2 linked regions of the Arabidopsis thaliana genome follow. The gene in region 1 interacts genetically with each later gene. Each region holds a gene or a part of one and is shown on either strand. Other genes may lie near its edges.

Region 1 (12,555 bases):
ATCACACCAATGCAATCAACACCTCTTATGGTGGACAAGCGGTGAGCAACTACCACGGTGGTCCGACCTCTCATGAGCCTCTCTAACGCCTCTTGCAGCACGCATTCTGATTCTGCATCTAGTGCGCTAGTTGCTTCGTCTAGAAGCAACACTGTAGGGTTCTTGAGCACAGCTCTTGCTATCGCGATCCTCTGTTTCTGTCCACCTGATAACTGCACTCCTCTTTCGCCTACTGGAGTTTTGTAACCTTCAGGTAAACCACTGATGAAACCGTGAGCATTTGCGGCTCGAGCTGCATCAATTACCTCGGATTCAGTTGCACCATCTTTACCATAGGCGATGTTGTCGAAGATCGTTGCTGCGAAGAGAGCTGGTTCTTGTTGAACAAGACCGATTTTGAGCCTTAGAGATTTCAGGTTTAGCCGGCGGATGTCTTTGCCATCAATCATGACTTTTCCAGCAAGAGGGTCGTAAAACCGCTCGATCATCGCAATTACAGAACTCTTCCCTGACCCACTCGCGCCCACAAGAGCTTGGCTATGTCCAGCTCGAATTCTGAGGTTAAAGTCCCTGAAAACCATGACGTCGGGTCTTGAAGGGTAAGCGAAATCAACATGCCTAAACTCAATGTCTCCACGGATCGTCTCCACGGGATCAGCATCAGCATCATCCGGGTCAATCCTGGTCTGCCTGTCCAAGACCGAGAAAACCGAACCAACAGCTTCACCTCCCCGAATAATTTCAGGAGCAAGACTGACAGTTTCAGCAACAGAGTTTGCAGTAATGACCAAAACCACAAACACTTTGATCACTTTGGAAAAGGTTGACACGCCTTTACTCACAAGGTGGGCACCATACCAGAGAATTAAAGCCTCAGAACCATAGAGAGCAAGCTGCGAGAGGCCAAATAGGAAACCCGAGGTTTGACTTCGGTATAAGCTTCTTTTCTGAGGTACACGAAGCTCATGACAGAACAAAGAGAGAATCTTGCTCTGTGCATTGAAAGCTGCTACGGTTCTAATGTTACTGACTCCTTCACCAGCAATCATTGAAGTCTTTGCATGAGCCTTAGCTGTGTCTCCAGCAAAACCCTTCAGAGATAGTTGCTGCAATGTAGCCACATATATTAATACTTATGATTTAGAACAACAGATGGTAATAATAGTTCACTTGTAAAAAATAAGATTGACAATCAAAGGTCTAAGTCGCCACTAAAACATGACGTAGAACCATATAGTTAAATCACATATGCAACACTCTATCCCATCAACATCAGTACAAGTACAATGCCTATCTATGTTCTTCTGTGTGAAATCTATTTGATAGATTTTTCAACTAATAATTAGATCACGGGTGAAAAAATGTTGGTGATATATCAAAGCAGAGTCCTGAACCTTGCAGCTAGTTAGAAACAAAAAAAAAACTCATCACAACCTAATCTACCAAAACAAAGAAACCCACAAGCAAACATTGACTAGTGGATGGTGTAAAAACACTGACACACACACTGTGATAAGTAAATAATGCACTGAGACAACAACTTTGACCAATGAAGAACTCTAAATAAAATATTGGTTCTAAGAAGGAAAAAAATTGCAGATTTTTTGGATTTTTGTGGTGAGGTTTTATGGGCAAAAGAATTAAATAAAGAGAGAAGTGGGATCACAGTTCAGAGTTCAGAGAGTGAAGTAAATATGAAAGCTTAAAGTAGGATAGATTTAGCAGAAGCAAAAGACAGAGGAATCTTAGCTATTTTCGTGAACACTGTTATCTATGGGTCATAGTACCAATAGAAACTATATAATAAATATTCTTCACACATGCCCAGAGAGTAAACTAAAGCCTACTGTTTTTTAATTTTTTTAGCACATTTATTGATGTGAGGGCTCCATGATCTTGACCCTTACACTATTTCCAAAAAGTAGAAAAAAAAAGCTTCTTAATAATTCTTTTATGATTATTATTGTAAACATAAATGCAAACTTGGATAAAGTTAGAAGATGAAGCACGTGTAGAGGCAGTGGCTGTGTTGCCATGTTCTATAAAGTTTTGAACTTTTGAAAAGCAAATATAAATTTATAAAAATCTGGCCTTTTGTCGTTTTTTCTTAAGATCATAATGGTGAATGCAAGATTCCAATTATATTTTAATGATTGATGAATATTGAAAGATTTTGAGTAAAAAGATTAGATTATTTACCTGAGCAAAGTTAGCGAGGACTAGAAGTGGGAATGTGCCTAAGATGAGAAGTGAGACTCTCCATTCTACTATGAAGGCGACTATGAAGGATGTGAGAAGTGAAGTCATGTTTTGTAGAATTACTGAGATTCTCTCGGCTATAGCGGATTTAACATCTGCTGCATCAGTAGCTAAACGTGCAGCGATCAGGCTTGAGTTGTGTTCATCCTCATCGAACCAACCAACTTCGTTTCTCAAGATAGCTAAATAAGAACAATCAAGAAACCAAAATAAGAAATGGGAAAGTGATTTTAAGCAAATTCAGGAGATTTTGATACATACCTGAGAGCATCATTCTTCTTACTCTTGTTGTGAGGTTTTCTCCCATGATGCTAAAGAAGTAATGTTGGATCAAATAAGCACCCACAGCATAGAGACCAGCACCAATGTAGATGAAGACATACTCTTTTGTTTTCCTTTCCATTGAATCATAGTCTGTGTAGTAGAAGACTTCGATCATGTTGCTCATCACAATAGCAAATGTAGGACCAATGAAACCAGAAAGAATTGAGCCTACTGCTCCCATGATTGAGTAAGGCCATTCCGGTGAATTAAGCTTGAGAAGCCTGTAGAAGTAATTTTCAGGGGCACGAGTCTTTCGGTCAGTCTCTGCATTTGAAATCATCTCTATCCGACCATCAGCTCCAGTGCTGTAAGAATAGCTCAGATTCCTCAAACTTCCTGATCTTAAACTGAGTGATTTCGTTGACAGTGAATGGCTCAAACGGGTTGAACGAGTGCGACGAGTTGACGGGTTTGAGAAATCTCGAGTACCAACCATTTCCTGAAACCTGATGAGGGATGCGTAAGCACCGGATTTGGCAATGAGTTCTTCATGTGTTCCGGTTTCAACAACTTGGCCTTGCTGTATCACGGCAATGGAATCAACATTTCTGATGGTGCAGAGACGATGAGCAACAACAACAGTGGTCCTCCCCACCATGACTCTGTCTAAAGCTTCCTGAACAATGCTCTCAGAGCTAGCATCAAGAGCGCTTGTAGCTTCATCTAGTAACAGAATCTTTGGGTCTTTCAACATCGCCCTAGCAATTGCAATTCTCTGCTTCTGTCCACCTGAGAGTTGAACACCACGTTCTCCAACCTAATTGTATTGACATTCAACAAAAAATTAAGCAAAAGGCCATGACATTAACTAGACATATAATCAAATATTTGATTTATACCTGTGTGTCGTAGCCTTTAGGAAGTAATGTAATGAAACTATGCGCATTCGCAGCGGAAGCAGCAGCTTCAACTTCAACCATTGTTGCATCAGGCTTTCCATAGAGTATGTTCTCTAGTATAGTAGTGGCAAAGAGCGCAGGTTCTTGATTCACAAGCCCGATTTGTTCACGCAAAAACTTCAACTGAAGCGTCTTTATCTCAACACCATCCAACAGAATTTGCCCTGCTCATCAAGAAAAAATAAACAAAGTTATGATCCAGTCACTAGCCAAAGACTCAAATAGCAAAAAACAAATTCAATCAAATTACCGCTGTTTGGATCATAGAATCTCTCAATGAGGGAAACAACAGTACTCTTTCCAGAGCCACTCCCACCAACAACCGCCACAGTTTTCCCAGAAGGGAAGAAAATATTAAAGTTCCTGAAGATCATAACATCAGGCCGTGAAGGATAGCTAAAAGTCACATCTTTAAACTCAATGTTCCCATGAACTTGATCCAAACATTTTCCATCCAACGGGTCTTGAATTATCGTCGGTCTCTGGTTAATTATCTCCATCAACTTATAACCAGCCGCTTTACCTTTACTAAACGCCCCAAGATTCGAGAAAGATTGCCCCAAACTCCTAAAAACACACACAGAAACAAAAAGTGACATCCAAGTAATAACAAAACACAAAATACACAAAACCACATCATTGTTATGTTTTGAATTCTTACATTCCACCAACAATAGCAGAGAATATAGCAGTAAACGCCTTTCCTCCATCGGTTTGTCCATTCCGAATAAAAACTCCAGCATACCAAAACACCAAAGCCCATGACATACAAGCTATTCCATAAGTACATCCTAAACCCAACCCTTTAGCCATCCCCGCTTTATAACCGAGCTTAAGCGTATACTGAATCGCATCCGAATACGCATTAAGTGCCTTACTCTCTCCAACATAAGAATAAACAGTTCGAACTTGAGCAATTGCCTGAGAAACCAAAACATCAATCATTAACCGACCAAAGAAAAGCAAAGATTTTGAATTAGTGAAAACACTGTTTAAGTCTTTGGATTGCATAAGAAGCAATGAAAAAAAAAAAAAATCATTTGAGAGATCAAGTACAAAGAAGCAAGCCTAAGAACAGTTAAAAAGCATTACGTCGAACAGTTGGTGGGCATTAAATAAAACAAATAAAGGAACAAACTTTAATCTTTATTTACCTGCTCGGCGATAACACCGGCGTTAGCATAAGATTCACGGCTCTTTGAAGTAATTCCGGTGAGTGTATAAGCGTATAAACCTCCGGCGAAAGCGATTCCGGGAATCACAGCAACACTTAACAAAGCTAATTTCCATGCTGATACAAATCCAACTACTAATCCCGCCAAAAATGTTGAGAGGTAATGTATAAAGTTTCCAACCTGAGAAATTCAATTTTTTTTCAACTACTCTGTTATTAATTCACTTCATCAACAATAAAAAAGAGTGATGATAATAATGAAACTAGGGGACCCAGTGCATGTTAGCTCGTGCTTGCTAACGTGCACCACAGAGACAGGACCAAATTGCAAAAAAAAAAACAGTTTTAGATAAAATGTACTATTAAAATTTGAAGGTACTTTACACATTTTTTTTAATAACAAATATTTATTTTACTTGTTAAAGAAACATTATTTTGCATAATAAATATTTTTCACAATGGAAAAAAAGAAGCTATTTTTATATTAAAAATGTAAGAAAATGAGTACTATATCATTTAAGTTTTAGTTAAATAGTGAAAAAAATCCTCTATTTCTATAGCAAATTTGTAAAAAAAAATTACTTATTTTCACAATCTTATGAAAAAAATCCAACTTTTATTTTAACAAAAAAAAAAATCAATCTATAGTCTTTTTTCTTCCCTAACCACCTGAGGCGCAAGATAAACGACGGTTGCTAACATAAACGGACCCAAAACTTTGATAAAGATTGATCATGAAAAAAATGGGACCCGCCGGTAAATACTAGATTTTGTTGGTAGTAAAAAAAAAAATGGTTACCTTTTCACTAATGGCATCTTGAACAAGAAGAGTATCAGTAGAAACACTAAAGACAATGTCACCAGTTCTAGCATCAGTATCAAAGAACCCAACGTCTTGTTTTAATACTGCTTCAAGATATTTCTTCCTTAATGCTGCTACTTGTCTTTCTCCAGAATACATCCAACATGCTATCTCTGTAAAATTATTTAACAAAAAATTATGGTTATTATTACAAGAATTTTTATGAAGTTGTAATAAATGTGAGAGAGATGCCCATTTTTTTTTTTTTTTCGATATAGACAAAGTAGTAGTCCATGAATCACGTGGACTTGGCTTATCCTTTTAACATATTAAAATTTTTAAAAATTTGAAGTGTTTTTTTTTTATATATAATTTTGATTCTCTCTAGATTGTGATTTCTGTTTCTAGGTTTTTATTTATTGAAGCAAACATAAAAAAGTTGGGTTTTTGTTGTAGAGTAAAAAAATGTTTACCAGAGTAAATGATCACTTTGTGGAAGAATCAAATAAAAACTCAAAAATTACACCTTTAGATTTCTTGTCTATAAAAGCGGTTGGCACGGAAAGTTCGTTCCGAACCCCATTACATCACTTATGTAAACAACATTCTATAAAAATGGTTTTTTTAGTTCTAATCAAAAGCGAATGACAAAAAAAACAAGATTTTAAACAAAGTTTAAGCTTTCTTTTTTTAATATAATTTTGAAGCAAACAAAAAAAGAAGTTGGGTTTTTGTTGTAGAGTAAAAAAAAATGTTTTACCTTCAGAGTAAATGGTCACTTTGAGGAAGAATCAAATAAAACTCAAAAAATACACCTTTAGATTTCTTGCCTAATAATCTGATTTAATTTATGTTAATGGGTTAATTGGTTGAACCAAAAAAAAGAAAATAATGCAAATGTTTAATCTAAACTTTATTAATTTCTTGATCTTGTTTTCTTTTTTTTTTGTGCAAAAAATTTCTTGATCTTGTTTATAATGTGATTTAATTACTGGGTTTCTTGATTGAAGAATAAAGAAAAAGAAGATTGGATTTGTAAGAAACAAACCTGCGTAAGAAGAGAAGCAAACGACCAAACCCAAGTAGACGAAATATAGAGAATACTGCAAAATTTCACAAACACAAAAATTAGATCAGATCTTGGATCTAATTTGATAAAAACAAGAAAGAAAAAAAAGACTTACTCTAGAGACTTCATGAACCATTTGATGTAAATCCATTTGGTTTTTACCAAATCCATTAACCATTTGACCAAAGAGTAAAAAGAAGACAGGCATGGAAGAGCCATGAACAATGGCACCAAGAGAACCAACGAACATTAAGAGATAATCAAATTTATCAGCGAAAGAAAAGAGTTTAAAGAATGGTAAACTCTGTTCTTTCTTCTTCTCTGCTTCTGCTGGAACAGTCTTGGCATCGGTTGTGTTAGTTTCCGACATGGTTTTTTGTAGATCCGAGTTAAAGAAAGTAAGAAGAAACGAGTTGGTTTAGTGAGAAAACGAGATCATTGAGCAGTGAGAGAGAGAGAGAGAAAGAATGAAATGTTTTTTGTTTTATAAAGTTTTTCTTGAAAATCTGACAATTGTTTTGTGAAGTTCAAGAACTCTTTTACGAGTGTCTTGTTTTGAAGTGGTGAGAAGAGAGAGAGAATGAGAGTGTGGTTGGAGAAGGGTGTGATTGGTATATATAGGAGGGAGAGAGAGTGATGAAGACTAGTGGTCAAAGACTCATTGAGACATGAGAGATTGAGAGATTCGTGTTGCTAGTTGATGTAATTAATGTTTAACATTTTGTAAAATGGAAAAAAAAAACAATTAAGGGTTTACTTTGATTTTATTGGATTGTTTGAATTGACTAATTTGTGTTAATTAATGTCATTTTAGAAAGTTTTTTTTTTATAAAGATCTTTTTTGTTAAAGTTATGTTGTGTTCAATTAATATTTTTAAAGTACTACAAATCAAAATCTGGTGTGATTCAATGGTTTTGCATAAGTAGAGATTTTAACAAATCTGCAAGCATTTTTTCTGGTCAAACTATGAAATGGGAATTTTATTGAACATGTCATTGTATAAAAATTCATGTTTAGAGTTAGATATAATCCAATGAAAGTTTGATTACAGTTTTTTTTTTTTTTGGTCTAAATAATTTTTAAACAACATTAGATATTTTATATTTTTATATTGTTACATTAAGAAAACTTGATTTTTGTGTAAATACATATATATATATATATATATATATATATATATGTATAGACAACTTGTCTAAAATTATATAGAAGTATTTCTATGGTCAACATATAAGTATACAAATTTTAGCTCAATTTTTCATTTAAATAAGTAATGTTTAAAACTTTGAAATGTATAAATCCATTAAAGTCTTCATCACAATGATGATGTACTTTGGTTTCTGTCTAATAAGTTTTGAACAACATCATGTATTTTGTATCGTCACATTTAGAAAACATCATATATTTTATTTAATAATTTCTATTATAACTTGATTAATAATTTCTAAAAATTTAGGAAATTTTTTGATGTATATCCAATTAACTCCTTATGACAATGATGAAGAACTTTATATTTTTACTAATAAGTTATAAATGACATCATATACATTATATCATCACACTTAGACAATTAGTATAAAGTTATATGATTCAAATCATAGGGTAAGCTAATCAGTAGCGATTACTTTTTGTGTTATAATAAGCATGTCAAGGGGATCATTACCTTTCTTATGACTACCATTTCATTATCTCCATTTTGTGATAGATCAAGGCTGAAAAATCATACAAATTAGAACGTTATCGAGTATAAATAACAAATGATCGATTAGCTCAGACCATATCATGAAAAATAGATGATCTCTCTGACTCTCTCATACGATTATCTGCATACTAAACAAGCATATGCTATTGCACCCAAACCCGAGATATCGAAACTGTGGGAAGTCGATCTTTAGCAGAAAGAATATCGAGGGATCACTTGTGCAAACCACACAGTTTTACACAATACCTATTATCGAAGGATATATAACTAATCATTTGTTTGAAAAATATGTGTGAGTTTCTCTAGTAAAAATATTAGGATACAAATTTTAGTTAAGTTGTCATTTTAAAATTTGATGTTAAAATCTTTAACTGTATATAAATTCATTAAGTGCGTTTACCAGAATGACGCCAAACTTTGGTTGTTTTATAATAATTTTTAAACAACATCATGTATTTGTAATGTCACATTTAGACAACATCATACATTTTCTAATAATTTTAAAAATTCATGTTTCAATTTCGATATATAAATTTTTGCAACTAATATAAATTCAAGGATCAGCTAGTCCGTTACTGTTTGGTGTTATAACGCATATGTTTTTTTAAAAAAATTCAAATTTATGTTCTTCTCTTGTTTATGAAGTGTAATTTGTAGTACGATACCTCTTATTAGAGTGGTAGATTAATTTAATGGAACATCAAACATTTGGTGAAGGAACTCCAATAAGAATTATGAAGTGGAGAAGAATATGAAATATAATATTTACAACAGATAACCGATTATAACCAGGTCCATTTGTCTTGATTTTTCTTATGTTAAATTCTTGTATATATCGAAAATCTGAGAAAAGTTATGCACTAAATCTATAGATACAAAAAGATCTTCTTTTTTCTTCTTCTTCATACACTTTTAATCAAATGCTAAATTCTGTCAACTTTTTAAGTTTTTCACATATTGTACTGACTCATATTACATTTACTTTCATTATTAATTTAGGAATTAAAATATTTCTATTATAAAACAATCTAAAAAGTAAAAAAAGAGGTGTTGGAATAATAGTTACAAAATTACAACCAACTAAAAGTGACTTAGATTCGGTTATGAATGTAAGAGCAGACCATGTGAAGTGGTTGTCTTTTTGTGTTGCTCTGGTGTAGACCAATGCCACTTCACGGCTTCAACGATGTTTCGTTTATCCCATTATAATTATCTATTTTTATATACAAGAAAATCTAAGGATATATACTCCAACAATCTCAAAAAATGAAAAAAAAAAATATATAAAGAATATTAATGTAGATAGAACGGTCTTTGTAATAATAGTGTACGACGATGCGATTTAATAATCGTCAGAAGTGTAGTATTGATCGTAGAGTTTTAATTATGTATTTATTAAGATGTTGGAACATTAAAGATAGGGATTGTTTGAATTATGTTTCTTCTTCTTTTCAAACAAAAATAATATTAAATTAATTTCAAAAAGAAATAGCGTTTATACATCAAATACAACGTTTTTTTGAAAAAGATCTTAAAACACTAAACCAAAAATTTTTTGATCAATTAATTTTTCGCCGTAAACCAAATTTAGAGACCTTAGTCATACCACCTATCACCGCTTGCTCGAATGGATGATAGTTGGTTCCGTATTTGTTTGTCGACCCATTTAAGTAAGAGAGCTGCATAGTTCGACTTGACGTCATGCCTTCTTCCATTCTTGTCTCCCTAGATGGTGTGAACCGTAGCTTGAAATACATATCGAGCTAAGAAGCTTTCAGTTCTGTCTTTCTAACTCCTTGATATAGTGTGGATCAGATCATGTCAATTCGTAAGATATTTTGTACCGTAGAGATGCTTTGCTAAATCATACTGAAGCGAAATCATAAGAGAAAAAACAAGTGGTCTCCGAGTTTCTAACGCATTGTTGCAAAGAACACAAACAATAGTAATTATTTTTTCTTTTTTGATTATATGAACACTGTTACATAGGATATATTAAAATTCGACGTCATGTCCATAGCTATCTATCTTTTTTTCTAAACAAAAATCAGTGATGAATTTTAAATGATATACGAAATTTTGATATAATTAATTGAAGTCATGAAAATATTATACAAATTTATATTCTTTCAATATATGAGTTTAATATTGATGAAAATTATATATATATATATATATATATATATTTGTGTGTGTTATATAGTGAAAAATAATTGTCCACGCATGTGCTACAATATTGTACAATATTAAATTCTTGCATGATGAGGGTATATATGTTTATGGAATCATAGCTTACCATGTAAGGTGATAATTGTAACTAAATCCGCCATGTTAGTGGTTGGTGTGGATGCACAATCAAATTCTGATTTATCTTGTTTTGTTTCTCTCTTGATATTATATTCGTTTGATTTGTCATCTTTTGTTTCTTTTCTCTTGAAATTATAGACGTTTATATATGACCAAGATGTTTTAGAATAAATTATACATGTTATATATATATACACTGTTTGTGTGTTCATATACATAAAATAAATTATATCTATACATATATATTTATACACCGTTTATGGGCCTTAACTTAGTTGGGCCTAATTCAAAACCCACTATACAGATAAGGGCATACAAAGTTACAAACTGACTAAGTTGTATATTCATAAATATGTCCCTTACGTGAAAACTGAAAGGCATTAGTTATATAATTTCATAGTCATGGATTATGTAATTTTTCTTGGATGTCTTTCAATAATTTATTTGTCCAAACATTCTTGTCTTAAAGTTTTTACACCAAGATTATAATTCGATTTTTAGATAGAATATTTTTTTACCAAATCTTTTACATTGAAAATATAAATTAAATTTCAAAATAACTCATTAAATAGAAATATATCAATTAAATTTTATACAGAAAATACAAAACATTTTTCTTTACAAAACTCTCGGTTTGTAATTTCGAAATCTTTTGATTTGGTTTTCAGCTATCTCGTCTATCTCTTAACAATTTTTCTTTTAGTTTTTTTTGTAATTATGATTAACTATTTAGTACTCATGACTACTAAATAGTGAATACTGATAGGCCAAGTGGCCAAGAGACAATAGATAAAATAGTAGATAGGTGGCTTTGGTTGTTTGCACCCCTTTTCTTGAGCAAAGCATCATAATTAAGTGTTTAAATATTCCTATAATTATTGTTTAACAGAAGATTCAAGATTGGGTTGTGGCCAAAATCGGGGCATGTGATGTGCTGAAAAAGATGTGGTCTACTGTTTACTCCTATTATAATCATTCTTTCTTTTTTCTTTTTTTGATCTCTTGATTGAATTTTTTTTCAAAATACTTTGTTTAACGTGTGTTTTTTTTCCAAACATAATTTTGATATCGTGGTATATATTATACGCAATGCTTTTTATTGTTTCTGAGGAAGCATCGATGTTTGGTAGGGGGACAGAATATACAATAACTAGTTTTACTAATTTTAGAAGTTGATTGTCATTAGATATGTACATTATTAATAATCTGTTTTGGAAAAAAAAACTATTTGAAGACCTAAGATTTATCAAAACTTGGCCTAGAATTTTACCATAGCCATTACTTTCGAAGAAAAATAAACTACTTTTAAATGAGTATTTATTTTGTCAAAATGATTTATGTTTATGAAGAATTAAAATTTGTAGAGAATAAGTTAGAAAATTTCATATGGTAAAATTTGTAGAGAATAAGTTAGGACACATGGACCCATTTTTTAATTACAAATAGAAGCTAAAAGATGTAGGTCTTGCATCAAATCTATATAACTAAACCTATTTTGTTACTTTTCGCCGAACCTAATTGAAATTTTAATAATAAAAAACATTAAAAGGGATCGACTAGTTTGATGACCTTTGTGAGATTTCTCTTTATCATAGACTTTATTAGTTGTTAAAGGTACTTAAAACTCAGCAAAAGTACCTTTTGACCATACGTTTCTTATATATACACCTAATTAGAGACTGATAATTATCACATTTGACAAAATAAACTAATTGTAATAAAACTTAGTACATGAATTATATAAGTTTATTCAAGCAACTCATAAAAACATGTTTGCAAATTATCATTGTTTGCCTTTGAATGGGGGTTGTAGGGTCCAATGATTAATCACTTTTGCTTTGAAACAATTATAGTTAATTAGTTTGTCTTGGTGCCATTGTCACTTTTGAAGGACACTCTTTATAATATCCAAATTCTTTTTGATAAACAATATCCAAATTCTTAAAAACAGTAATCTAGCATTTCTTCATTATGCAGAAAAATATCTCTTATCTCACACTCTATTTTATTCGACACCT
Region 2 (13,318 bases), on another chromosome or scaffold:
AAATGATTATTTTCATTTTCTTGTAATTTTATTTTATTTTGGTTGGAGAAAGAAATACTTCACTTGCTATCTGCATTTTCTTATAATAATAATTATGCCAAATTTATTTTTGGCACCAAAAACTTCATAACTGATACCTTGAGATAGCTTCTTGACAAAAAAAAAAAAACTTAGTTCTGGCTTTACATGCCAATATTTCTTGGATTACGAATATTCATGGTTACGTTTAACTACCGTATGCTATAATATTCATCTAGTGTTTTTAGATTTTAAGACTCAATTGTAATCTAAGATTTAAGTTTGTTTTTGTATGCATATGCGAGTATGTATTACTTTCAATATATGCATAAGTATAGCTTCTTTTAAATTGCCCTAGCTCTAGTTATGAATCTTGTTAAGAACACAAGCATCAAAACGAATATAAAACGTATAACCGTTTTATAAGTATATATCTAATATCAACCAACATATATTGAAAGCCATTTATAGTTAATAAAAAAAACAATTAAATCGTGGAATTGAGCAGCGGAACATATCATTTTGATTGGTACAAACAGATCCTAGTTTGATAGATTCCATGTTGTTTAGGTTCACAGATTCTTTTCATTATGTATAAAAGAAATGAGAAACAAACCACTGTTAGCGTAAGTAACAGTTAATAGTCTTTGAGAAGTAGCGAACAGACAGTGATCCCAAGATGCTCCGAATGGCCAACTTTTTAATGAATCTTTAAATCCAATGGCTCACAGCCACATAAGTTGTTTTTCTCTCACTGTCATTATTTTTAGAAAACATTTTAATTTGTATGATTGTGATTAGTAGTAATAACAACCAAACGTTGTAATCATTAAAAAGAAATTGTAACTATATTAAAACTAAGTAACGATAATATATAGTAGAATGACCAAATATGCAAAATTCTATTTTAGAATTGGATATCTAGGAACCCTAGTATGAAAAAAAAAACGAGAAAGAAGTATAATAATTTTTTTCCATGGGTAATATATGTTCAATAGCATCAACCTCCTATTATCTATATACTATATATATATATATATGAATATTCATGAGTCCGACCTACATATCTTTTATTTACATCGCTTTTGAAGATTTTTGATTAGTAATGCCCGTTAGGTTAGAGAGATCCTACAACATTAATCGAGAACAAGACAACACAAAAAATATCAAGGTGTTGTTAATTCTACAAGAAACAAGTAAACAAAAGCTAAAAGAAAATGTGGGGGGGAAAAGGAAATTAGGCGAACCACTTGACACTGCTAAGATCCATATAATGGGAAATTAGTGGGTCTACTATCTTTCTTTGGACCACAACTTGGTTGATTTTTTAGTGCAAAAATTTAAATAAATGAGCAAATAATGAAAGCAATAAATATGATTGCCGCTTGTTGTGATTCTTGTGAATGTACCACTCCAACCGTAACAAACGATCGTTCATCATTCACATTTTTCTTCGTTAATTTTAAATTTTATGAGAAAATGTTATTTACTTTTACAATTAACATTAAAAAAATTCCTTAAAACATAATTTTCTTGGATATTTTTCTAGTCGTATGTTCTTTCTTTAACTTTTTTTTTTTGGACAAAATTTCCTTCTTTAACTTATATTCTGTAAAATATCTACTTTATACAAATGAAGACAATTCCATTATTAATTTTTAGTCTTCAGTCACAAGATAAGTAAAGTACGTATACGAATCAAGTGAATATAACTGAACAACCAGAAGAAAAAAAAATCAAACAATCTAAATTCAATAAATAAAAAAACCTAAATTTAAAAGATTTAAAGACAGCGACCGCTAAGAAAATCACTAGATGTTTAAATAGACTAGCTATAGGTAGTGGTTCTAATGAATAATGAGCCTACACTCCATTATAAATCAATTTTGTTCTTTTGATTTGCCTACTTGCCTTGGTAATATTTATAATTTTCTATAAAAGTATATGCAAAGGACAATATATACTAGTTAAGAATTCTACACATGGGGTTAATGATAGGACCTTGTTATTTTTCACCCGATGATTTAGGGTTAAATAACGAATTATTATCCCCAATTGGGAGCCTATTCTGGTCCCCCACCCATGATTCCTATTTTTCTTCTTATTTATGTTTATATTTCTCCTTGTCTTGGGGCTACATATGAAGATTCTCACTACATCAGACCCGTAAGACGTAAGTAGATTAACAGTTAAATAAACAAAAGATTCGAAAGCAAATATAACATTATAAAATATACAGTGGGTTTACTCGACAGAAAAGTCTTTCGACTTCAAGTCGTCAATATCTTAACGACTTTTCATTTCTTCACAAATTGTTTCAATGTTTCTGAAGTTTTTGAAACCTTTTATGTTATGTAGGGTTTCATAATACTGTTCGGCAGTTTTTGCAATCACCGATGAATAACTTTTGGTTGAGAAAAAAATATATCTGGGAACGTCGAGATATCTACTGACAAACTTATCTGATTGTGATGAATATATTGATGGTGTTTTTATTAGCGATCTCATTTACATCATATAAAAATATGGTGAGAAAAAGTTTGTTAGAACCGTTTGTGCTCTGATACCATTTTATCAAAGGAACAAAATAAATCTCATTCTCATTAATTATGGAAAAATATACATGGAGCAGTTTATATACAGACTCAGATGTGAGTTAAACCGACCCCCTTAACAAGAAATAGATAATAAAACTATTGAACTGGTTTATACCAGTGTACAATAACCAAATGAACCTAGACACTATGCAAGACATATACCTTAAGAAAGGCTATCGACCAAGTCGTTAGATATTCAAAGATGAAATTATCTAGAGAATTAAGATATATTACTACGGTTTTTCAAAGAATATAAGAATTTGGTTTTATGCGAGTTTTATTCAGTTGGAGTTGATTCATATAAAGTTTTAAAATTTGTTTTCGCTATCTCTTTCTCAATTTCAATTCTTTTCGACGAATCCACAATGATTTGAGTAGAACACCTGAACGATGCTGTGTGTGTTATTTATCAAAAAAAAAATGATGCTATGTGTGTTTCAGCTGCCAAAAATACAAAAAGTGCTCCCGTTAATAAAATAGACTAAATTAGCTACTTTGTAGAAGCCTCTAAGAATAAGATAAGCCCATTATAACCTTCTGGCCCAATATTGTGTATATAATGTATTATACAATTCTTTTCAGAAATTAAAACCCAGCAACCTGGAGTCTACAGCCTTCTGATGGATTACTGTAAATGGGCTAAAGAAATGTAAGACCCTGGAGTCTGGACTAATCATATGATTCAAACATTTTTTAAAAAGCTTATATTAGTTACAAATAACGACGAAGGTAACAGCAACAGCATCACATAAATAGGGCCGCCCTGATCACAGCCCAGTGAAACAATTGCTGTGGCCTCAAAAAACATTCTGAAATTATACTAGCCAAAATGGTCCAAAATTAATTATTTTTTATTTTTTTAGCCCAAATTTTCTAAAGCTTCATTTAAAAGTCTTTGGCCCAAAATTATTCAGAGTCGACCCTGCACATAAACTAGTTTGTTGTTACGTTAGGATATAGGAATGTGTAGTGTATGTGTGTAGGCGTGCACATGGGAGCAAGGATTGTTCCTCGAATTCAAAGCCGCATTTGTATTTATTTGTTAGTTTATAAAAAGATTCTAATTCACTATAGTTTTAGAAGACAGATAAGATAACTCTATTTTAGTAAATCCTTAGGGTTTTAGTAAGTCGGAGTATGTTTTCACGTGCAACAAACGACCAATGTTTTAAACGCGACAAAAGGAATTACCGTCACTCAAACATATGATATAAAAATAGTTTATGGGATTGTGGTGATAATGTATACGTGTAAAGCCGGTCTTCAAATCTTAAAATATATATTTTTAATGGTTGAATCCTTTTATCTTCGATGAAAAAAACGTTACTTTTTTTTCATTATGTATACGTCTTTTCAGTTTAATATTCAAATTTGTTGTTGACCTATTTGGTCACGACAGAGGAAAATATTGGCCGTATTTTTAGAAATGAAAAAAATAATCGATGGAGCAGTGTAATGACAAATCATGTGTCGACTTCCAATATCTTATTAAATAATTAGGTGAAGATAAAGCCGTAAATAATGATACTATAAATTAGTTTTTCCAATATATTGTATAGTATTGTATATCGCAAAAAAAAGCAAAGCAATTATGTTTTTATTGGTCGTCATATCGTATCTAATTACCCGTACAAAAGAAAAGGAAAATCTTCTTTTTTTCTCACAATCTCTTCGGGCGAAAAAAAATGTAACAAAAGCAAAATACAATCACATTTTGAAAAAAAAAAAACAGAATCAATAGTAAAATAAATAAATAATACCCAAAAATAAAATGAAAAAGACAAATGACAAAAAGCTCTCAATACTCTGTCTGGGCGACGGCCGACCCAACACCGTCTAGTGGCAGGCAGAGACACTAACATCTGCAACTATGACCTTACGAAATTACGTTTATACCCTTATACTTTTTTACGTCATCCTTTGCATTTAATTTTTTTTTAAAATTTCACTAAAAATCTTAAGTAAATACGAAATCTTTTCCGTGACGAGATTAACTTCTTTATGAGTCCGACAAAAAAAAAACTTCTTTATGAGAAAACCTCGATCCTTTCAAATATCTCATGTAATATCAAAATCTCATGGGTCCAAAATTAAAGGCTTTAGACTAAATGATAGTTATATCATATGCATGGTTTATCAAATTTCTGAAATATTAGATTTTCACGTATATTTTTCAATAAATGGTGAAGACCATTGATTGAGAGCAGAGAATGAACACAGAATTAGAAGCTTCTGAGAAATGTTGGTGTTGTAGTAGGAAAGCGAAGTGACACGGCGTCTTCTTCTTCTCTCTTGTCTCATTCTTCTTTTTATTCCTCACCCATTACTTTTGTTTTTTTTTATTTTATGAATTTGAACAATGTGAATTGCAGGCTTAAATATTTACAAATCGAGCTATAATAATAGTTTTATTAATTGGAAACATTGAAAATTTGAAGAATGCAACGGCGGCTACAGCCGTCTCATGCAGAATAAAATGATGGTTTTTTTTTACGTGAGGGTGAGGCGTGCCATAAATTTAGGGTCGCTTTCTTTAACTATTTTCCTCATTCTAATTATTACGCCTTCATATATTTATTACTATCAATTTTATTTTTATTTTTGTTTTGTATACAGTCATTTCACTTTCTAATAAATTCATTTGGTAACTAAAATAAATAAAAATTCATCATTCCACATATTTAAATCAAGCCAATATTTTTAGCAATTAAATGATTTTCATGTCGAGAGTACAATTCAAACCAAGTTAAGTATTATACATTTGATTTATCATTATATAAGATCGTCGTATAAATATGAAGGTTTGTTTTTATTCATAAAAAGCATCAGCATCTAAGTGGTATGTAATGATTCTGAGAAGAATCGGTAAAAGGATACACAATTGACAACACTAAACGAATCTTTCAAGATTCCACAAACGCAGTGAAGAGGAATCTTGACCAAGTCGAATAACGTAACGCATGCACCAAGTCCCCTATCTTCTACATATTTAATCGAGTGTTCTGTTGAATCCAATACTCGTGTCGTCTGTGTTGTTATAGTCACATGCTATTTCATACCTTCCCACCTAAGCTATTGTAAAGTTTCTAATATTCATGACTACGTTTTAAATTTTCCCAAATCCCCCGTAGAAATCCCTTTCTCAAACATTTTGTGGAAGATGTACTTTACTGTTTTAGTTTCTGATTTTTCACATTTAGGCAAACGAAACATAGAAATGTTAAGTGAACTTAACTTTTGAAATGGCTAAAACACTTCTTATTTTGGTGAGATTTAGACCTATACACACCAATTCACTTTTAGCATGCACACAAAATTTGATATTTTCCTTAACGTTTTTAATTCACTAAAAGTAGCCAAAGCTTTTACAAATTCCTAAAACCTACCAAAAGAGGAAACACGAATGTTCATTAAAATTAAGAAAAAGGTAAAACTTGCTGAGCTCCTACTTAAGTCTCCTTCTTCTTCTCTTCTTCAAGAGCTTCAATTATCCTCAAAGATTCTCTAAAGCTGCTTCTGATTTAATTTGTGGGTTTTCAACAAAAAGGGCATTGTTCTTTTCACAATTCATCATCCCACAAAAGAATAAAACAAAGTCCCTGTGTTTTGGTAATATCTCTTCATAGACCCAAGAGAATGTAGTAGAGAAGAGTTATGGGCAACGCGATCAACATCCCAAATATCACCCTGCAACAAAAATCAGAACTCACGTTAACAAAAATATATTTATATATACACCTAATCATAATTAATGTAGGCAAAACCAACCTAACTTTTTTTCTACAACAAAATTTATTGTTATAACAACAAAACTATTTAATAGATTAATAAACTTACGCAGTGCTAAGAATGTCAGGATGCACATTATACTCTTTGGCAAACACAAACGGTACTATTCCTTGCGGCAAAGCTGCCTGTTTGTTGTCAATAAAAATAATGGTTAGAAATCGTATAAACGACAGTAGACACAACAGAAGTGTTTCATATTTGATCATGCAAATAAAAACTACCTGGATAATGGCAACATGGAGGAGGACGCCACGGAGGCCAACGGCATAAGAAGCAACGAGCATGACGGCAGGTCCAACGACAAATCTCATAGCCGCCGCAAAAGCTGCTCTTCTGTTTCCACAAGCTATTATTCTTGGGTTTAACGCCATGAACAACCCTTTAACACATCCAAAAAAAGCCACAAATTTAAACAAATAATTTATTATTGTTTTGCTTTTTGGTTAATTTAAGTTTATACACTGTTTTTAGCTGCAAAAGAGTGACATAAAAATAATCATCACAGCCACTGATCCACCACCACAACATTAACATCATCATTATCGTTATCCTAAACTATTCATTCCATAAAGTCATGATTAAGCACAAATTTTATAATCAGTTGATGGAAGTCTACTGAAACATAAACAAGGTAAAAAAGAAAGTTTTTTCATCGATAAGGGGGTCAATATTAGGTATAAAAAAATTGTTTGTTGCTTTAAGAGAAAATAAAAAATGGTTCCTCCTATTCAAGGGAGAGACATGTTATGATGATAAGCAGAGAACTGTGGAGCATGCTTTCTGCTGTGAAGCCAGTTTTGTTTGCTTTTTTGATACAAACATGTTTCAAAAAAACTTCAAAGAAAAAGAAAACAGAGAGAATCATGCTTCCACATGATTTGTTTTTTTTCTTAAAATCATTTAAAATTTAAAAAACACCATAAAGAATGAAGGTCAGAAATAAAGAGAACAATTGACTGTTTTATGGTATTTAATTATGTAATAAATGAAAAGAGGTAAAAATAAAAGAAAAGAGAAAAAGGAACTGACCAAGACTGAACATAGCCATGCCTAGACCTGCATCTGAGAGTATGGAGATAGACTTTGCTATAAGAGCTGGCATTTCAATGTTCCACCTGCACAGACCACATCAATTTAATTCCAATAAAGAGATCTTTCTCAAATCTTTTGTTACTTCAATCTATCAGAAAAAACTTTCAAACATATACGCATTCAAGGCTGACCCTTTATGCATCAAGAAAGTGGTTAAAATAGTAGACCAAAACCAAAGTAAAGTGAAAATAAGACAAGTTTGAAACAGTACTTGAAGGAAATGAGGGACCAGGTGATGCCGAATAAACTGGAGTAAGAGTTGGGATTACGAATAAGTTTCCTCCAAACCATAATGAGAATGAGTCTTGTCATCACACTTGTTGGTGGCATCACCTTAGCCTGCGTCGTTTTGTTGCTTATGTTGTTCCCACCGTCCGTTGCCAATACTTTGCTATCATCGTCTTTGTTACCGAAACTAAACTCTTCCCTCTCCACGTACTGGTTGTCTAAAGTAAGGCAACAACACATGTAAACAATTAAAGAACCCCTTAACCAAATCATAAATATCGAAGGACATAGAGAAATTTTGGGGGTGTTTTTGTAAAGAAAATAAATTAGGGTGCGAAAACAAAACAACAAAGTTATAGAGGGACTATACCGTTACTATTCCCCTGAGGTACAGAGATCTTAACGTCCTTTTGATGATCGTTCGTAGCGGTGGAGTAATCGGCGTGGTGGTTTCCTCCTCCACCGCCGAACACATCTGAGACCGGCGAAGCACTTGAGCTCCACACAAACATGTGAAGATCTCTTCCGTTTCCGTCTTGTCTTTTCCCACCAACCACCGGAGCGTTTCCTTTCGCCGCCGTGCCTCCACCACCGCCAGTGTTGGGCGAAAACATCCCTGGGTTCGGCGCCGGATAATGCGCTCCTCCACCGCCACCACTTCCTCCAGATTGATAATGAAACCTCCCAGCTCCAGCAGCAGTTCCAGCAGCCGTCGGTTTAGCAGGACCACCGTCTTCTTCGTAGTTGGAAGGTCTCGGAGTAGGACCTTTAGAACCAAACACAGCTTCTCCAGGACCAAAGTTAGAGTTCCGACCACCACCAGAAGCCATCATCGAGTAAAAATCAGTATGATTAAAACTAGAGCCACGTGGCGTTGGGTTTCTTGAACTCTGAAGCGAATATATCTCAGCGTTGGTTAGATTCGAAGGTCTAGGTGTCGCAGATAAGCCTTGAGACCTTCTCGAGTAAATATCAGACCTTGAAGCATTAGAACGACGAACAGTAACATGAAGCTTCCCATCTTCTTTAATCTCAGCTTCAGTTTCCAAAGGTTGTCTTCCATCTAAAGACATAATGTCGGAATCAACATGAATCGAAACAATAGATCCTGCTGTGTCTGGAAACTGCTCGGAGATCAAAAGCTTAGCTCCACGGTACTCAAAGAGAAAGAGCATGAGTGTGTACCAAATGATACACTGAAGAACAACGATTTGAACCATGAGGTCGCCGGAGAAATTACCATACATGCCTTTGAGAAGAGGTATCCCCATGACTAGAGTGTTGGGGAGTGTCGAGAGAGAGAAGAGAGTTATGGTCCAATCTAAAGAACCGTTGCGGCTGAGTTTGCACCAGAGGAAGAGGAGAGAGAGGACAATGACTTTCTGGAGAGAATCTGCGGCGAGGAAACGGAGGTTCATGGCGTAAGGGTTGTTAGCGGCGATGAAGTGGAAAGAGAGGAGAGGAACGGCGAAGAGAGCGACGAAACGGTTTATGCCGGAGCATTGGTCTGGTGTGAAGATTTTCCACCATTTGACAGAGCCGTAAGCGAGGATCATAGCTACGTATAACGGAACCATAGCCGTCATAACGTGGTAGAAGTCCGCCGCCGTAATCATCTTTTGTTCGCCGGAGAAGAGAGAGGGAAGAGAGAAGAGCTTTTGTCTTTAGTTTGAGAGAGAAGTGGTGAAGAGGGAAAAAAGAGTAAAGTGAGTGTTGAGAAGAGACCACATTTTTATATTCTTTTTATTTTATTTTTTTGTCCGTTGAGAAAATACCATATTTTTTAATTAAACATATATATATTTTGTTAATGAAGCTAAAACTGTTTGCTGATTTTATTATTTTCGTTTTCGATTATTTGGTTAGTTTCTAGATATTATATTCAAAAGTAGTTTACGTGTAGGAGTAAAAAAACATTAAATGTAAAATTGGAATAGCTCAACATATTTATTTGTTTTGTTAAACATTCCAACATAATAGTGTGTGTGATGTAATTTTGATTGAAATACGACAAAAAGAAGTTTTTTTGAATGTAATAAAAACGAAATAAAAATGGTGGTTGATGGGTGCGTGGTGGAGCTTTGGGGATAGTGAAAGAGGCGGCCTTGTGCGCTTTGCGGAGTCCAAAGCAGAGCCTCTGTTTTTGCCTCTCTCTTTTTTTTTTGGCCTTTTCAAATTATGAATTAATCTATTCGGTTGATCAATTTATCCCCTATACTAATTATTAAATTTATATTTTTACCATGTTTAAAAATTGTTAAATTTATTTTTGCTATAAATTATTGTGATTAGTATGATGGGATTTTTGGTATTGACTTTCAATTGATAAATCACAACAGAAGATAAATACACATTGAAGTGATGATATAAGGCTCGATTTGATGTTTATATGAACTTAGAAAATTTTGGTTTTAAAGATAGAAGTCTTCTCCGAAGAGAGGTTGAAAGTCTTTGGAAAAATGGTTGCAATTGAACAAACTAGTTCCTAACCAAAGACTTTGTGGGTGGAGATAAAAGAAAAGATGTGATATCACTAACATAAGGTCGAAATCACTTTTTCATGTGAGATGGGTGTGTGTGAGTTATCATTGCATAGGTTATCATTTACAGTTGTAGTTGCGCATACGAATTATTTATGAACTATTCAATCCTTTGATCGCTCATCTTGGAACTTATTTTCTTTTACTGTTTACTGTATAACATTACTAACAAAGTTTTATAAAATATATTTCGTTGAGAAAATTAGTAACAAAGTTTTATTGAACATAAATACGTAGAAGTTTTTTGAAAGAAAAATGTTGAAAAGAGGGTGGTTCTGGTTTGCTTACACAAATCAGTCTGATGTGTTCTTTAATACTACTAATAAAGTCCGTACAAAAAGCAATGGGTTGATGATATAATGAGGAGTGTTGATATTTGAGGAAACACAATATTCCATCAACAGTCTGCTCTTCATTTTTCTCATCATCCCATACAAACACAGTTCTTCTTTTTTTTTTCTTTCCAGCTTTTTATTTTTCCAATGTTTTCAACTTTTTTTTAAGCATAATAATAATATATAGTACTAATATAATTCGACTTTCCTTGCCATTTCTTGCGCTTAAAGAGACTATACACACAAAAAAAGTAGGTTATGCAATCCGAATAAAGTAAATATGTTGAGAAGTTACGAAAAAATAAAAGAGTTGATGACTTAACATCATTTTTCTATTAAAAATTATAAATCAAGTAGTTTCTATTTTTTTTTACTGACAAATAATTTTAAAATTGGTTCTTTGAAAGAATTGAATTTTTAACACGGCAAAAAAAAAAAAAAAATTGCAGGATTTTTTCACATTCCATATAGTTAATGATATTTTGGATCTTTCAAATTATTTGTCACTAATCCATTAATCTTTCAATCTTTTGTTGTGCAAATCCTTGTTACAACTGCGACTTTGTGTAATATTGAACTCAAATTAACGTTTTTTCTAATACTCTATGTTTGCACGGCTTGACTTATGGTTATGGGTGATGGATGACCTTTTAGCAAATACTTGAAACGAGAAAATTAAAATTGATCTTTTAGCAAACACTTGAAACGGGAAAAATGGAAAAGAGAGTAAGATAGTTTGGTTTAATAAAGCAAATTTTGACTAATTAACACTTTATGATCTATATTGACCTGCTTTAATATACATAAAGTGAGTCTTATGGCTGATACTAAAAGTCGACAAACTAATCTCAATAAATACGTTAATCAATGGGAATGATAAGTGGATACATGTTTTGCATCAAATTATGCTTTCTTTTGGGTTTTCTTCAAAATTTATATAGACCGAAATATCACTAGTTAACAAAATCGCTCGAACTCATAATTCTTTTTTAATAAGAAGTATAAACTAACTATGTGGTTTTGAAATGAAACTTTGGCGACAACGCCAATGGAATAATTTACAAATTTGACTAATCTTTTTATTGGCTAAAAGATAAATAAAAAGATTACTATAATGAATTTTTTTAAAGTTTATCAACAGAAGATTAATGGTTGCCGAGTTTAAGAAAATATTTGATATTGATTCTCGTTAGTCGTTACTGGTTAATGGTCGAAATGTAGATGATCATTGGACTGTCTACGGTGGAAGCCTCCCATTGTATTTTTTATATCTTTGCTTGGCTTCTCTATTCGGTTTAACATTCATGAGAAAGAAAATTATTGTACTTGATTATTTTTCAAAACCTAAATAAGACTTGAATAACAATATATAGCGAGATGTCCAGCTAGCCGTTGTATTTGAAAAGTAGGTTATTCACTTTATACATCTTCCTCACGCCTTAAAAATTACAAAAGATGTTGTTTTTATGCATAGCCATTTGCCACAATTGTATAGTTTAATTATTCAAACTATTATGAGTCTCATAGTCATTGGGTGACTAATTGTTGTAGAATCAATTAGAAATAGACGGTTGAATAAAAAACTCAAATGGATAAATTATGAATCAGAAAAGAAAACTTCATAGTTTGGTTATCAATCAGAACTCATAAGTACCGTATACAACTGCATGAAATTAAAAGAAATCAACTTAATGATTAATTTAATTAAAAGTTAGTACAATGTAAGCATAGCTTTTCACGCAACCCGAAAATAATGCATGTTGAAGGTCCATGCGTTTGTGCTTAAACACGCTTCGCTAAAGCATGCCTTGTAATTGTAATCAAAACAAATAATCCCACTAATGAACGGATGATGACTAATGAAGATTCATGTTTGGTACGAAATGTTTTAAGCCCTTTTGAACAAATACAACAGATGATGGACACACACACACAAATCGACGACATAAAACTTGATTTGGAGGATATCCGGAAAAATAGGCTATTCACATATCATCCGACTCAGCCTTAATGATTATGTTGTTTTTATGAATGGGTTTACTCTATTTAATTTGTCTTTAACTTATTTTTAATACGATGTTGAAGTGAAATAATCAACAAATAGTTATAAACGTGAAGAAAACAATAAAGGAGTAGAAGAAAGAACAGAGCGAGAAACAGGAGGGGCATGCGTAAAAGAAGTTAATGATGGATGAGGGTAAAATGGGAAAATTAAAGTAGAGGCGTGACACTTGTCAGCTTCATTAAGCTCCAACTCAAATGTTTTTCATTATCTACTTTCGTCATGATTATAAAACATAGGGGATGTTTAAGAAACGAATCAATAATAAAGGGTCTATTTTACAATTTCGAAAGTTTCCCCCGACCAAAAGAAAACATCAGACCAAATACCGATCTACGGCTACGAATCAATGTGAAAAAAGCATATATAGATGCTTTCGCTAAACATATATTTTTTAAAAATTTAATCTTTTTTTTTGCACGGTTTTGGGTTCTCTAAAAGGCTGAACCTATAAAAGAATATATAGAAATAGAACAGAGAATATTTAAAAGGATCTGAAAAATTACCAACTTTTTCTTACTTCGTTTCAAAATACAAATTTGTGTTCCTCAAAAGCTGCTATTGCTGCAATAAAGTTATCTTTTTCATCTCTTTCTTTTTCATTTTCTTCACTTCGTTAAAAGGAAAAACCAAAAGAGAAAAATAAAATAAAAGAAT

Evidence for each region.
Region 2: changes in ABCB19 (region 1) and PIN1 impair growth when combined (synthetic growth defect), as found in Arabidopsis thaliana (one study listed by BioGRID).

What each region holds. Positions count from the first base shown.
Region 1 is NC_003074.8:10,870,390-10,882,944, forward strand, and holds the start of ABCB19 (ATP binding cassette subfamily B19), read right to left. Parts: upstream 7,190-12,555; 5' UTR 6,898-7,189; coding exon 6,643-6,897; intron 6,562-6,642; coding exon 6,507-6,561; intron 5,632-6,506; coding exon 5,456-5,631; intron 4,838-5,455; coding exon 4,637-4,837; intron 4,404-4,636; coding exon 4,144-4,403; intron 4,050-4,143; coding exon 3,733-4,049; intron 3,647-3,732; coding exon 3,423-3,646; intron 3,341-3,422; coding exon 2,521-3,340; intron 2,442-2,520; coding exon 2,200-2,441; intron 1,107-2,199; coding exon 1-1,106. UniProt on the Arabidopsis thaliana protein: Brassinosteroid exporter that, in conjunction with ABCB1, supports the accumulation of exogenous brassinosteroids (BR) in the apoplast, thus promoting BR signaling initiation involving the specific receptor BRI1 and required for plant growth and stress responses.
Region 2 is NC_003070.9:27,655,794-27,669,111, reverse strand, and holds PIN1 (Auxin efflux carrier family protein), read right to left. Parts: upstream 9,440-13,318; 5' UTR 9,341-9,439; coding exon 8,095-9,340; intron 7,943-8,094; coding exon 7,708-7,942; intron 7,520-7,707; coding exon 7,434-7,519; intron 6,784-7,433; coding exon 6,626-6,783; intron 6,530-6,625; coding exon 6,453-6,529; intron 6,303-6,452; coding exon 6,236-6,302; 3' UTR 5,859-6,235; downstream 1-5,858. UniProt on the Arabidopsis thaliana protein: Acts as a component of the auxin efflux carrier; this activity is enhanced when activated by D6PK-mediated phosphorylation.